Linked DNA regions of Drosophila melanogaster. The gene in region 2 interacts genetically with the main gene of each other region. Each region holds a gene or a part of one and is shown on either strand. Other genes may lie near its edges.

Region 1 (4,810 bases), on a different chromosome or scaffold from region 2:
ACGGCTGTCCGTTGTTCTCGCGACGCTTGGTGAGAATCTCGCATCCGGTTTCGTTGACCAGCAGTGTCTGCTCAAACTGGGCGGAGTACAGGCCATCGGCGGTCACAGCAGTCCAGTCATCTGGCCAGGTTTCAGCCTTCTGGACGCCAACGGAGATCATGGGCTCGATGGTGAAGCAGTGGCCAGGGGCCATTACTCCTACGGCAGAGTTTTCTGCAAAGTAAGGACATTAATAATATTCAAAGTACTTTTAGCCAGCTCGAAAACTTACTGGCATAGTGAGGCACATTGGGAGCTGTGTGGAAAACACGGTGAATGCCATGACCGCAATAGCTGCGCACCACGCTGAATCCATGTGGTGCCACATACTTTTGGATCACGTTGCCAATATCGCGATACTTTTCACCCGGACGCACGAACTCAATGGCCTTGCTGAGCGCCTCGTGGGTGACCTGCACCAGTTTCTTGTGCTTCTCCGAGACATTGCCCACAAAGAAGGTCTCGTTGAGATCACCATGGAAGCCGCGATGATAGACGGTCACATCGATGTTACATAGATCTCCATCCTGTAGAGGACGCTGATCGGGGATGCCGTGGCAAATCACCTCGTTGACCGATGTGCAACAGGACTTGGGGAAGTTGTAGTAGTTGAGGGGCGACGGATAGCACTCCCGTTCGATGGCGGCCTCGTGGACCAAACGATCCAGTTCGTCGGTGGTGATGCCCACCTCCACGGCTTTGGCACCCTCATCCAAGCATTCTCGACCCAATCTGCCGGCCACTCGCATGCCCTCGATCTCCTCGTCGTCCAGCACCTTAATCTTGGTGCCCCGCAGTGCTTCCTCCGAGAGTGAACGTCCTGCTGGATGATCGGCGTAATCTGGACGTTGTATGGCGTTCGGAACTGTTCGCTTGGGAGTCTGTGGGAACGGGCGGAGCTTGCCGGTGAAGCGGAAATGTGGCCATGGATTGTAGGCTCCATCCTGTTCGGCAGAGTTCGAGGCACCGGCTGAGTCAAGAGAATTATATGGTTTCATTGCAATCCAACTCATTAGGAACAAGACTTTCTAAAACTGACCTGCTAAAGCATGAATCGCCTTGTGCTCCTTCCAGAATCCTTTGAAGCACGGCTGCGAGCAGAAAAATGAGCCCTTGATGCCCAACTTTAGGCAGGTGGGACACTGCAGGGTCGCATCCTTGCCGCAGTTGGTTGTCTCGCACTTTTGAGTCATTCTATTTCAACAATTAATGCGAGAAAAATTTCCGTGCCTGCCAAAAATAGTTTAACACAGCGTGACCGCACCGATAACGATAGAAAATACCTGGAAGCTTTAAAATAAATACCTTTTTATACCATTATATGACAATATATAAGCAATATGGCTTTTTGGGAAATTTGCCTTACGCTTCAAGCAAAATCATAATTCTATTGGTTTGATATTAAATACTGTTTTCTGATTAAACATTAAAAAAGTTGATATTAAATAAATACCAAATCAATGTTTAAGAATGGCGCTACATCGATATCCGATGTTTTCCAAGCACCGATAGCCTGGGACCAGTTCTGTTCTTATCGATACGTTTGTGCCAGGGTTGTTCGTCGCCGGCTGTAACGGGCATTAGTTTAAAATTGGAAATAACTTGATAACCATTTTATGTGTATTTAACCATTTAAAATGTTACTATTATGGTAAGTGATTCGTAAATAGTATTCATATGATAATTAACATAAGAAAAGAGTTAATAAGGGCTTTCCTTACAAATGGTTTAAAATCGTTCGAAATTTGAAAGTAAACAAATTAAATATGTAAGTTCTTCGCGGAGATCTTTGATCTGGCTAAGGGACACTGGCCCCGTGAATTCGTGGCCTTTGTTTTCGTCCGTCGGGGCGGCAGTTCAAACGCAGCCGCCTGTTGGGCACTTTTCCGCAGTTGTTCTCGGCGCATGCTCTTGGTGGGAACAGTTTGGACTTGGACTCGGTTTATCTGTCTGCTCTGTTTATGTTCTCAAATCGCGAGCAACTTCGGTCGTGAACGGACGTGCTTTCGCTGTAAACTCGGAATCGGTGTCGCGAAACAAAAGAATATTGGCAACAAACTTGTTTGAGTCAAATGGCCAAACGCAAATATCCGCAAAGGGCAGCAGGATAAATTTATTGGCCAGTGAAGTGAGTGAGTGTCTTGTTTCGAATTGGTTTGGCCAAAAAAAAAAGAGGACCCCTTTAATATTTCTACCTGCAAGGGATGCTGAGATTTCGGCAGAGTTTCGCATCATTTGCGAGCGCAACTTAACTAACTCAACAAGTGAATTCAAGGGTTTTCGCTCCTCCAATTACTGATTTTGTCCTCGTGATCTTCGTACTCGATTGAAATTCGATTACGATCGTTTTGTGTGTGTGCATTGAAATCAGCGTTATCAGTGTCTGCCCTGATCTTTGGTTTTGCGTTGAACATGTTTATTATTATTCATTTCTCTGGTTTCCCGCGCCCAACGACAATAAGTTAAGTAAACACGCTGTTTTTGTTGAGGATGCTGCTGCTGCTGTCTGTTGTCGTTGCTGCTGTATATGTTGCTGCTGCATGTGTTACAGCTGTTTCCATAGTTGCTGTTGCTGCTGTCACATGTGTTGCTACTGTCTCTTGTGCTGCTGCTGTTTCCAAAGCGGCTGCTGATGTCAATGTTGCTGCTGCTATCGCGTATGTTGCTGCAACTTTTTTAGTTACCGCTGTTGCTGCAATCTCATATGTTGCTGCTGTTTCTATGGCTGAAGGTGTTGCTTCTTTGTTGCTGCTGTTGCTGCTGATAGGAGCGCAGCATTCGAATGGCTATAAATAAAAAACGGCACGCGGTGTGTGCAGCAGTGAGAATCCCCCGGCCCGTCTCCGCCGGATTTTCAGCACCACCAGCATCGCTTGATTATTATTGGTGGGTGTTCTGCGTTTTACGCGACCACACACAGGCACACTGCCACACACACACTATTATCTTCGCCGTGCGGTTTCCACTTTTCCGCTTTTCATTCCGTCGTTAAGACGCAGCACATATCTCGTCAATTGGCAATCTAAAGGCCGCCGGCATAATTAAAATAGAATCATTTCTGATTTCGCTTTGTGTCGCACAGACATGTGTGTCTTATTTTGTTTGTTTGTTTTTTCTTTTTTTTTTGCAATACGGAACAATTGCGAAAGTCAAGGTGGCCGCGAAAAGCCGCGAAATAGTAGGGAATTCCTATGCGATGGCAACGAACTCGATCTCTGTGTACCCAACTCATCTTGTCTGGCCTTTTATTGATTTATTTTTTCCCCGGCAGTCAGTCTACTCTTTTTTTATGTTCCCCTTTGTTTTGACCAACGATCCTCGATCTTCGACGGCAATTAAAGGCAGGCCAAAATGGTCCAGGAAGGCAGACATCAGCCTTAATTTGCTTTGGTTGCATTGCCTGCTCGTCTTCGGAACTTTTTCATATGCTGCGCAGTGCGTACTTTGTTTGTTTGTGTGCCAGCCGAATGGAAGCTGATGGAAATTTATGCGTAGAGAAAGGTGGAAGAATATGAAATGGAAAATATGAAATTTTTGAATTGAGTTTGTGGAGGAGTGGGGGGGGGGGGCTGGGGCGGTACACCTAACACTTCCGGTTGCCAGAATATCAACTTCCGGTGGCGTAGAATTGTTAGCGGGGAAATGCTTTGGCACAAAAGACGCATATTGATATTGTTGCCCAGGCTGCTTACGCTCCAATAAGCACACCCACACACACACATAGGCAGACATACAGACGGGAAGGTCCTTCGTCCTTGGGAGCCAGAAAACGCATTTCATTTTTGCTCCAGTGAGTTGGCCCTTGTCTGGCAAACGTTTTGTGGCAACTTGGCCATTAAGCATTTCGTGTTTAAGCAGCAGGATCTTTCCCTCGCCCTTCCCTCTCAGGACGAAGGACCAACAGGACAGTACAGCAAGGAATAAAAATTGCCCGCGTATGCATTTCTTAACAACATTTCTCCACCACCCTCCCCCTTCGCTCCCCAGCGACAACATTTCATTTCATATTTTGTGGCAGCAGCGCTTTGAATAGAATTCATTTGGATTCCCTTTCCCAGGACACCTCGTCCACTTCCTTTTGCCTTTGTCAGCCCCTGGGTTTCCGCATCCCACATCCCAGAACCCAGATCTTCCACATCCCTCATCTTCCTGGAACACGCACTTCAGACTGATAGCGCCTGCTTAACAAATTTCTGCTGTATTTTTCGGTTCTTGTTCTCCACTTTATTATATTCCGTCTTCTTCTTTTTTTGCCATGGCAATGGGGATTTTTCCGCATTTTTAGCTGTCGCAGCAGGGTAAAAATTAAAAGCGAATTAAGTTCGAGGAGCTGTGGAGGCATCTAAAAGGTATCTAAAAGGTGGACAGCCGAAGATAACTGCACTTGACGCCGGATAGACCACAGGCATTATTAAACCCCAAATTTACCTGCCAACCAGGCGGGGTGGCAAATCTGCAAAAGAGATTTGAGTTATTTTATGGATATTACTAAGTATTCTGTATCTGCTACAGCAGCCATGAATTGGGGGGCTTTTTGGAAAGGGTCTTTATTACACATAACAAAAAAATTTATAAAAATATAGGTCTCTATATTCTTCAAATGGCTCAATCATAGTTATTTACTATTAACTTGCGAAAAATACCCAAAAGTTCCTGTCCTTTTATACATCTTGCACGTTATTAGTTTGCTCGCTGAATTTTCTCAGTGTAAGATCCCATGAAATACAAATATTTTTCCCTATGTAGGCACAACAGCTGACACCATCCTGCT
Region 2 (8,104 bases):
TAATTAAATCGAAAGTCGTGGGTGTTATCAATGGTTATCAAAATGAATATATAAAAAACAGTGTATATTTGTGTTTTGTCTGGCTACTTTCCGGTTGTCAACAAGAAATCCTCTGTAATCAGAAGACTTTGTTCTGCTGGCCCTCTTCTTAACCTATTAAACCAGGAATAGTAGAAATAGATTCAAATCGTTTCAATAACTCTATTTTTTGAGTTCACATTCTTAGACTTTACTTTCCTGATCTGTAATTTGAATCAAATGCTCACTAGACAGTCATAGAATTTTCCTGATCAAATGCAAGGCCAAAGTCTAGACGAATAAGGCCATTTATAATCAAATGAAGCGATGAATAGTTCAGAAAATATTAGAATGAATCTTTAGATGTTTAAGGTAACTTTAAGCTTGCAGTTCAAACGTGTAACTAAAGTCATAGTACCCCTATCAAGGGTATAAGCATCATATATTGTTGACTTAATTATGACACCAAAACACTGTTTTAATTAAAAACTGAAATTCCAGAGGCCCGGCCACGATAAGCCGTGCATTGTGACGTGTTTTTCAGCACGCGCGCCACATTTAAAAATTAGACGTTTCGAGTGAGATTTTGCCTCGATCCTGAGTATACAAATCACGAAAGGTATATTGTGCGATTCCATCGCATTATATTTGAGGTGAATGCTTTATTGTGAAATCTCAAGGTAAACAAAACTCGGAACGGACTTAATCAGTCGATTGGCATGAGGTTTGAAAGTGAAACACAGCGATACGCAATCAGAGCCAGCATTTAATTAATATTAGCCATTTACATACTATTGTCCTCCGAGGTAATCTCAAGAGACCCATGCTCGACGGGCGTGAAAACTTCAAAATTATGATATCACACATGGTAATCAATTGAAGCAGCCAGCAAGTTAAAAACAAGAAACCCCAAACGTCGTAAAAGCCACATCGTAAATTGGTCAAGAGGAAAGCGATTAGCTGGCCAAGAGCTAAACAAAAACAGGAAGGCATACGTAGGGTGGAGTCTGAAATTGAGTATACTTAGTTCATTCGTTATATTACATCTAATTGTTCAGTCTTTTACACGACATTGTTTGCATATTCTTCGATGATACATATGTACTTTCTTCTAGCATTCATGGTTATACGTCAATTTTAGTCATACCTCTCGCTAGTACCGCTTATTAATAGACATTGGGCCATCAAAAGAAAGCGATGGTATCGCTTTGGCTGTGAGAACCAATCGCCATTAGGCAATGTCGGCTATCAGGGAAAGTCAAAGGCAATCCGCTGGACTGGACTGCCGCTGAACTTTGGACCGGTTGGATCGAGCGATAAAACCCCACCGGCACGACGTCAGCTCACGTTTTTGGGTGACGAATGCTGGGGCTCGATCCTCATTCCCAACAAGCTCGAACTCACGAACGGCCATCGAACATGTAGCGCCGGCCAGCGAACTTGTTCGATGCTCCAGCCTCGAGCGGCGTGGGTGTTCGATGCAGGAGGCGATCGGATGGGAGCCAACCGGACCTAAAACGCTGCTGTGTGGGCCAGGGGGGAAAGCCACCCATTATCAGTGGCTCTCCCTGCTCTCCCTCTCTCTCTCTCTGTCGCACTTGCTGGAAGCAAAGTAGAATTGCGCATCGCTTAAAACGCAGAGCAGCGGAGTGCGCCAATGATCGGCGGCGTGTCTGTTATCAAACAAACTGAAACTCAACTGTCTGCCGCCCGAAGAGTGGGCCATACCCATACCCATACCCATACCCAGGCCCATACTCACACCCATACCGCTCCCCACAGATACCGTTAGTCGTACCGCTCCAGGCTTTTGTGGCCGCTGCGCCGCCCATCGTCGAATTATTCACACGCAGACGTTCCCAACGATCGGATCGAAAATTATTCAAATCGTGCAAATCGTACATGAAACTTGGTGTGAACGAATAATACTTTATGTTTCTTCAAAACATTTGTTTTTGCTCAGCGAAATATCAGCTCGTCATTTTGAGGAAATCAAGTTCAAGTGGTGAAATTCAAAACAATAATGAGTTTGCGAAAGTGATTTGCGAAAACAAATAAACGGACAATCGATTGTAGAATCACTCAAGGACATTTGATAAGCATCCCTTTTCGCAGAAGATTGCAAACAATGTGCTAAGTTATTCAAGCATTTTGACAATGGATTATTAATTTGGGTGAGTTACATAACACAAGGGCTTATTGTGTAAGAAGTTTAAATAAAAGTGCCAAAAATGTGAATTATGGAATCAGCCTCAACATGGGATACTAGAAATTGTATATTTTTTTTAGCAGTCTAATGCTCAATATCAGTTATTACCAAATCGCAGGGAAGTTTCTAGTTTCGCTTTTGGAATATCATGCCGTAATTAAAAACTAATCATGCAGTGAATGGTTTATCGATCAGAGGCCTATCTATCACCGATTGATTGATTGATAGTTTTCGAGCCTATAACCCAGGCGCATAACCTCCAAAAGCTCTTGGCGAATTTCGGCCACGTCGAGAGTCATTGGCCAAATTTAGTTGCTACCAATGATGATCTTATTTAATCCTGCACTTGATTTATGGTAGCATCGCCGATGAGCGTGTGGCGAGAAAAGTATTATGGCAGATTAATTTGCGACGCTTCGGGCCTCTGGCTTCTGGCAATCGGGGCAATCTCCGTGAGCGGTTCCAAAGTCCAGATCGTGGCATGCTCCCAACCGCTGATCGGCGAGAACGGCGTGATCGCCGTGATTTATTGCCAAAAACCGATGGAAGCAGCCGTGTTTTTGTCGCAGTGCATTCAACTGCTGCGCGCGAAGAAGAAATGCAAGTGATAATTGCCGGCAATTACGATAGCCCCACTCCAAGTCCGAGTCCCAGCCCCACATCCAGTCCCAGCTGCCCCGTAATTAATGCGAAAATGATACGGGCAGGCCCATGGAAAACCCCCAAGCAGAGTCGCTTAGTCAAGAAGCCATCTCCATCAAGCGGCTGTACTTTGCACCTCCAATCGACGCATCGCCAGACCCCCAACTCCCCATTCACAGGCACAGCAGTTTTTTGCTCCGATTTGCATCGACATGGCAACCGCGGAGTCTTCACTACAGCTTTTGCTTCTGATCACGCGCTGGTGGCGTGCTCGATGACGTAGCCATGACTGCCGGGCGTTAAATGACCTTCTTCAACTTCTGTCCCCCTTCCCAGCGGCACCCCTTTTCCGCGGGCCCCCATCACATCGCAGTCGCACGCCTCGGCTTCGATTCCTGCCTTTGATAAGTCGGTCAGTCAAGTCAGTCATTAAGTCCAGTGCAGTGCGGACAGCTCGAGTTACGTCAAAAACGAAGAGTACGTACAAAACGTGTCACATGTCGCGTGTGTGCTACAATCCAAGCCCTGCTTCCTGATCCGATCCCCATCCATTCTATCAGATCCCATCCCATCCGATCTGATCCGTCATTATGTGGCCCCCAGTCGCTTTAATCGACGTCAGGTTGGTTGTGTTGGAAAAAACAAAATGGAGCAGATTTTGGAACGTGGCAATCTACGTAGGTTGTGGAAAAATATGCGATGAGTTGATAAGTGGTGCGACATATGCTGAAGGCCAGGACGTCATTTAAATTGGAAAAGGGCCACTGGAAAAGTGTAATACCTTATGTAACTTATGGGAACACGTAAAACTAAACTTAATTGTGCAAGTCAAAGGTGTCATAATCTAATATGAAATTGGGGAGTATGCAATACTTATAGTTGTTTATTGTATTATTTCCTAACAAGAACCCCTATTAATTTGCTTTTGCTTAAGCCGCACCAACAATGTTGCCAGAATTCGCTGAGGCCTACAAAATTTCTATCAATTAAACGGACCTTCTCCTCCGTATAGTATAGATCATTTCTATTCGTCTCGATGATCTAATTGGGTTCAGAAAAATCACAGTTCGTGACAAGCGAATCGGGCACGTGTTCAGCATTTAAGGCTAAATCGAATAGGCGGTATAATATAACTCGTGATCTGCCGGCCTTCAAAATACTTTTCTTGACCTTACTCGACTGCTTCACATTTAGCCGAGACCAGAAATTCTGGCTGATGAAATTCCCAACCGAAATACTCATGAATTTCCCATTCGCATTTAAATTGGAAAACAGACACACTATGTATTTGAAATGCGCATCTATTAACCGAATCCGATTAGGATTGCCCAGAATCGCATGCTAAGCGTACTTAATTGGTTAAATGCCGCACTACATATTCCATGCTCCCGATTTGTGGACCAAAAGTGGGAAACCGCCCCTTATCAGCAACGTGTTCACTATTAATTGATTGACACACAATCGAGTCGGATCATCAAAGTCAAGCTTGATAACGCTGCGGGGTAATTAGCATGAATGGGCCACTCGACTCGATTCGATTCGATTCGATTCGGTTTGAAGCGATCATAAATTCACTTGATATCAAAATGCCCCATTGTGGCCAAGCGAGTGCCAAAAATGCCAACAGATAGTGACGCCGCCAACTGGGGGCGTGGCATTGTCAGGGTGGCGGGAGGTTAAAAATAAAATTGCAATTAAGAATTTTATGCAATTCGGTGGCTTGGCGTTTTCAAGAAGCTGATGCAATGCTGCACCCCACTTGCATATCCAATTGTCTTCGGCTAAAGAGAGAGCGCCATGTAGCCATAACCATGGTCTATAGTCATAAATCGAGACCCGAACCGCTCGGCTTGGATCCGAGTCCGCAACCGATACGAAACGATCCGTCAGATACGATGCGATTCGAGTGGTTCGGATTGTTTCGGTTCGGTTCGGTTCGGTTCGGCTGGCGCTCGCGGAACGATCAATCAAACGCTCGGCGATCGTCACATAAATTGTTCTACTAATCAGCCAACCGCTTCATTCATTCACAACTCGTTTGCGCTGCCGCATGTCGGAAGAGAAAGAAGCACCATACTATATCATAGACCATACCACAAGTGGAATACTATATAGACGCGCGATCCCAGCTATAGCTAAAGGCCCGTGCCACTCGTGTTTCGTGTCCGGGTTCAAAGTTAATGCCGCAACCCCCGCCGGATTCATCCGGCTGAGCAGATTCAGATCCCATTGGAGCAAATCGGAGTGTGCTCACCACGGTACGTGTGGGGTCCACGTCCACCTAATTGCCATCTAATTGAGCCCGCTTATCAGCGGATCTGCGCAACTACGCTTTCGATTTGAGTCGCACTTGGGGCAAATAGCCCATGTGATAATGTGAAATTGAATACTGAACTAAACTAAATCTTCCCGGAATTAATGTCAAAAAAACGATTTGCACTTTGCCACCTGCCAATTCGAGCTCAACGATATGGAATAAATGATGCAATTTGGTGCAAAAATTAAGCGAGACTTCGGGCTTAGTGAGTGATAGTGATAAATGCACCTGATCCGCTGGCATATTAAATTGCATTTTAATTGGGGCAGCGCGTTCGCAAATATTTATGAGAAAATTTAGGGCATAGCTGTTTTAATTTATTTGATTAATAATCGGAATGTGCTTACAATATTAACTAAGTTACAAATTTCTTCTTATTTGCAGACGAAACTTAACGAAAAGTTTAAAATATTGAACATGCATCATTCAAGCGTATAAGTCGTTGTTATATAAAATCATAAAAAACGCATAAACGTTTTAAAAGTGCTTAAACAAGGCTATAAAACGGCAACAATAAGTGAAACCAGCTGCAATTCTATGAGTTTTGTAAACCTGAAAGCCGGAAAAATTGATGTTTTAATGCTGCCAAACAGATAGCAATCAGCCCCAGCCGACAAAACAAGAGTGAAACCAAAGGCGATCCAGAAGATCATAAGATACATATAAAATATCTCACAGTTAAAAAAAAAGAGAAGTCATAAGTACATATTCAGAAATGGCCAAGTACTTTATAGCCCTGGTGTTGCTGGTGTGTCTGGCCCTGGAGAACAGGAACGTATACAATCGCCTGCACGCCCGCTCCCATCCGAGTTCCCGTGGCGACATCCTTCGTCCGCATCCTAAGCACCAGCCGCATCCCCATGTGCAGCACACCTCGCAACAGCTGCAGCAGCAACACCATATCCGGCAGCAACGATCCCGTCAGCTGAAACACCTGGAACCGGATCCGACCAGCGAGGAGGACGATGTACCGATCACCAAGCGGGAGTACTATGCCCGCCTGAGGCGCCACGTCATCCACAAGAGGCAGCACCTCCTGCAGCAGGAGCTCAGCTACAACCATCCCGGCTCCCATTCGGAGCAGCTAAAGGTGCCCCGCCTGTGGCAACACCTCATGGAGCAGGAGGAGAAGGCACACCGACATGTGAGCCCGCCCGTGGAGTTGCCTATCATGTACGGAGATGCCCCCGAGGAGTCATCCCTCTCCTCCGATGATCACTTTGATGATCTGTCGCCGCTGGACTTTGTGCGCAACGAACTGATGGCCGAGGACCAGCAGAATCAGGAGAAGGATCTCGATCTCGATCTGGACCTAGATCAGCAGCCGGAAACGCCCATAGAGCCAGAGCTCCCATTGGGTGAGAGGAACATCACCATTTCGGTGAAGTCCAGCGCCGGAGGATGCCCCAAGTGCGAGAGCAATCGCCAAGTGGAGCACATCACCGAGGAGCAGCTGACCCACTTACGCATCGAGTTCGTTAAGCAGCAGATCCTGGAGAAGCTGCGCCTCAAGGAGAGCCCCAAGGTGTCGGCCGTGGAGCTGCCCAAGCCCATCTTCGACGGGATGACACTCTCCCATCCGGACGATAGCACCAAGAACAAGGAGCTGGACGATTACTACGCTCGCACTAGCAAGAAGTTCATACTGCTCAATAGAGGTAAGCAAATCTAGATTTAAGCACTAGAAAGTAAAGATTGAAGCTTAACTTCAAAGGGAATCCTTTTACCATTCTGATTTTGCTAACACAACCCTTTATCCTTTATTTTTACAGAGGAGGTCGAGTGCAACCGAGCGAGAGATGGAAAATCCAATCCGTCCATGTGCTTCACCTTCAAGATAGACGACGCAGATGCCGAGGGCTTCGACGTGAGCACCGCCGTCCTGTGGCTCTTCAAGAACAAACAGAACCGCACCGACACGGCATCGGTGAACAGCACCAGTGCCCAGCAGACGATCGTAGTCTCCGAGGTGGAGGTGGATCAGCAGAAGGACTCCAAGTATTTGTCGGCGGCCAAGACCATAGCCATCCAGTCGGTGAATGTGCAAGGTGGGTACACATAGTATACATTAGTATAGCATAAACACTCATCCCCCCAGAGCGTAATCATGCCCAGAAAAGAATCGCACACGTTTGGACCTTTGGTCGGCAGCCGCGGAACGGCCAAAACTGACCCTCAATACCCTCGGGGGACAAATCAAAATATGTGACATGTCTATACTAGATGGGTATTATAAAAATTATAAAGAACGCCGATAAGTGCCAACGTTGACAACCGCTTGTTTGTGTTTTCAATTAGACAGATCATTGCGCAGATTCGTGATAGCACTGCTTGATAGCTCGGCTCGAATCTGAAATTCATGTGGGTGAATAACTTGACAAAGCATTATTCGTGGGTGCAAAAACTGAACTTTGGCCACAACCCAGCACAGTTGTGAGTTCCTGGGGTCAGTTACCAGATAAGAAAGATGGGATCTACGATTCTGGGAGAAGAGAAGATGGCTCTGTGGAACCCCCAACTAACCGCTCTGCCTTTCCTTTCGCATACTTTCAGATGAGTGGATGAAGATCGACATTGAGTGGCCCATCAAACACTGGATCAGTGGCCACGAGCTGAGCCACCTCATCCAAATCACCTGCGGTGGCTGCGATGTCAGCGACATGGAGGAGATCATTTCGGTGGACAAGGATTACCGGCCATTCATCGTGATCGACATGCAGAACAGGCGGCGCAAGAGTCGCCAGAAGCGCAGCATCAACTGCTCCAGCGGAATGACCGAGTGCTGTCGGGAGCACCTGTACATATCATTCCGGGACATCGGCTGGAGCAACTGGATCCTGAAGCCGGAGGGCTACAATGCCTACTTCTGTCGCGGATCCTGTAGCTCGGTGGCGAGTGTTACGCAAGCGGCCTCCCAC

Evidence for each region. Genes that interact genetically often act in the same process or in processes that back each other up.
Region 1: of daw (region 2) and tok, changing one enhances a phenotype caused by changing the other (phenotypic enhancement), as found in Drosophila melanogaster (one study listed by BioGRID).

What each region holds. Positions count from the first base shown.
Region 1 is NT_033777.3:24,718,050-24,722,859, forward strand, and holds the start of tok (tolkin), read left to right. Parts: upstream 1-1,647; 5' UTR 1,648-1,690; intron 1,691-2,007; exon of another isoform or gene 2,008-2,171; intron 2,172-4,810. Other genes in the region: CG13630 (uncharacterized protein), read right to left, coding at 1-213, 272-1,009, 1,079-1,232.
Region 2 is NT_033779.5:2,803,410-2,811,513, forward strand, and holds the start of daw (dawdle), read left to right. Parts: upstream 1-1,851; 5' UTR 1,852-2,192; intron 2,193-4,912; exon of another isoform or gene 4,913-5,127; intron 5,128-5,570; 5' UTR 5,571-5,901; coding exon 5,902-6,844; intron 6,845-6,958; coding exon 6,959-7,234; intron 7,235-7,739; coding exon 7,740-8,104.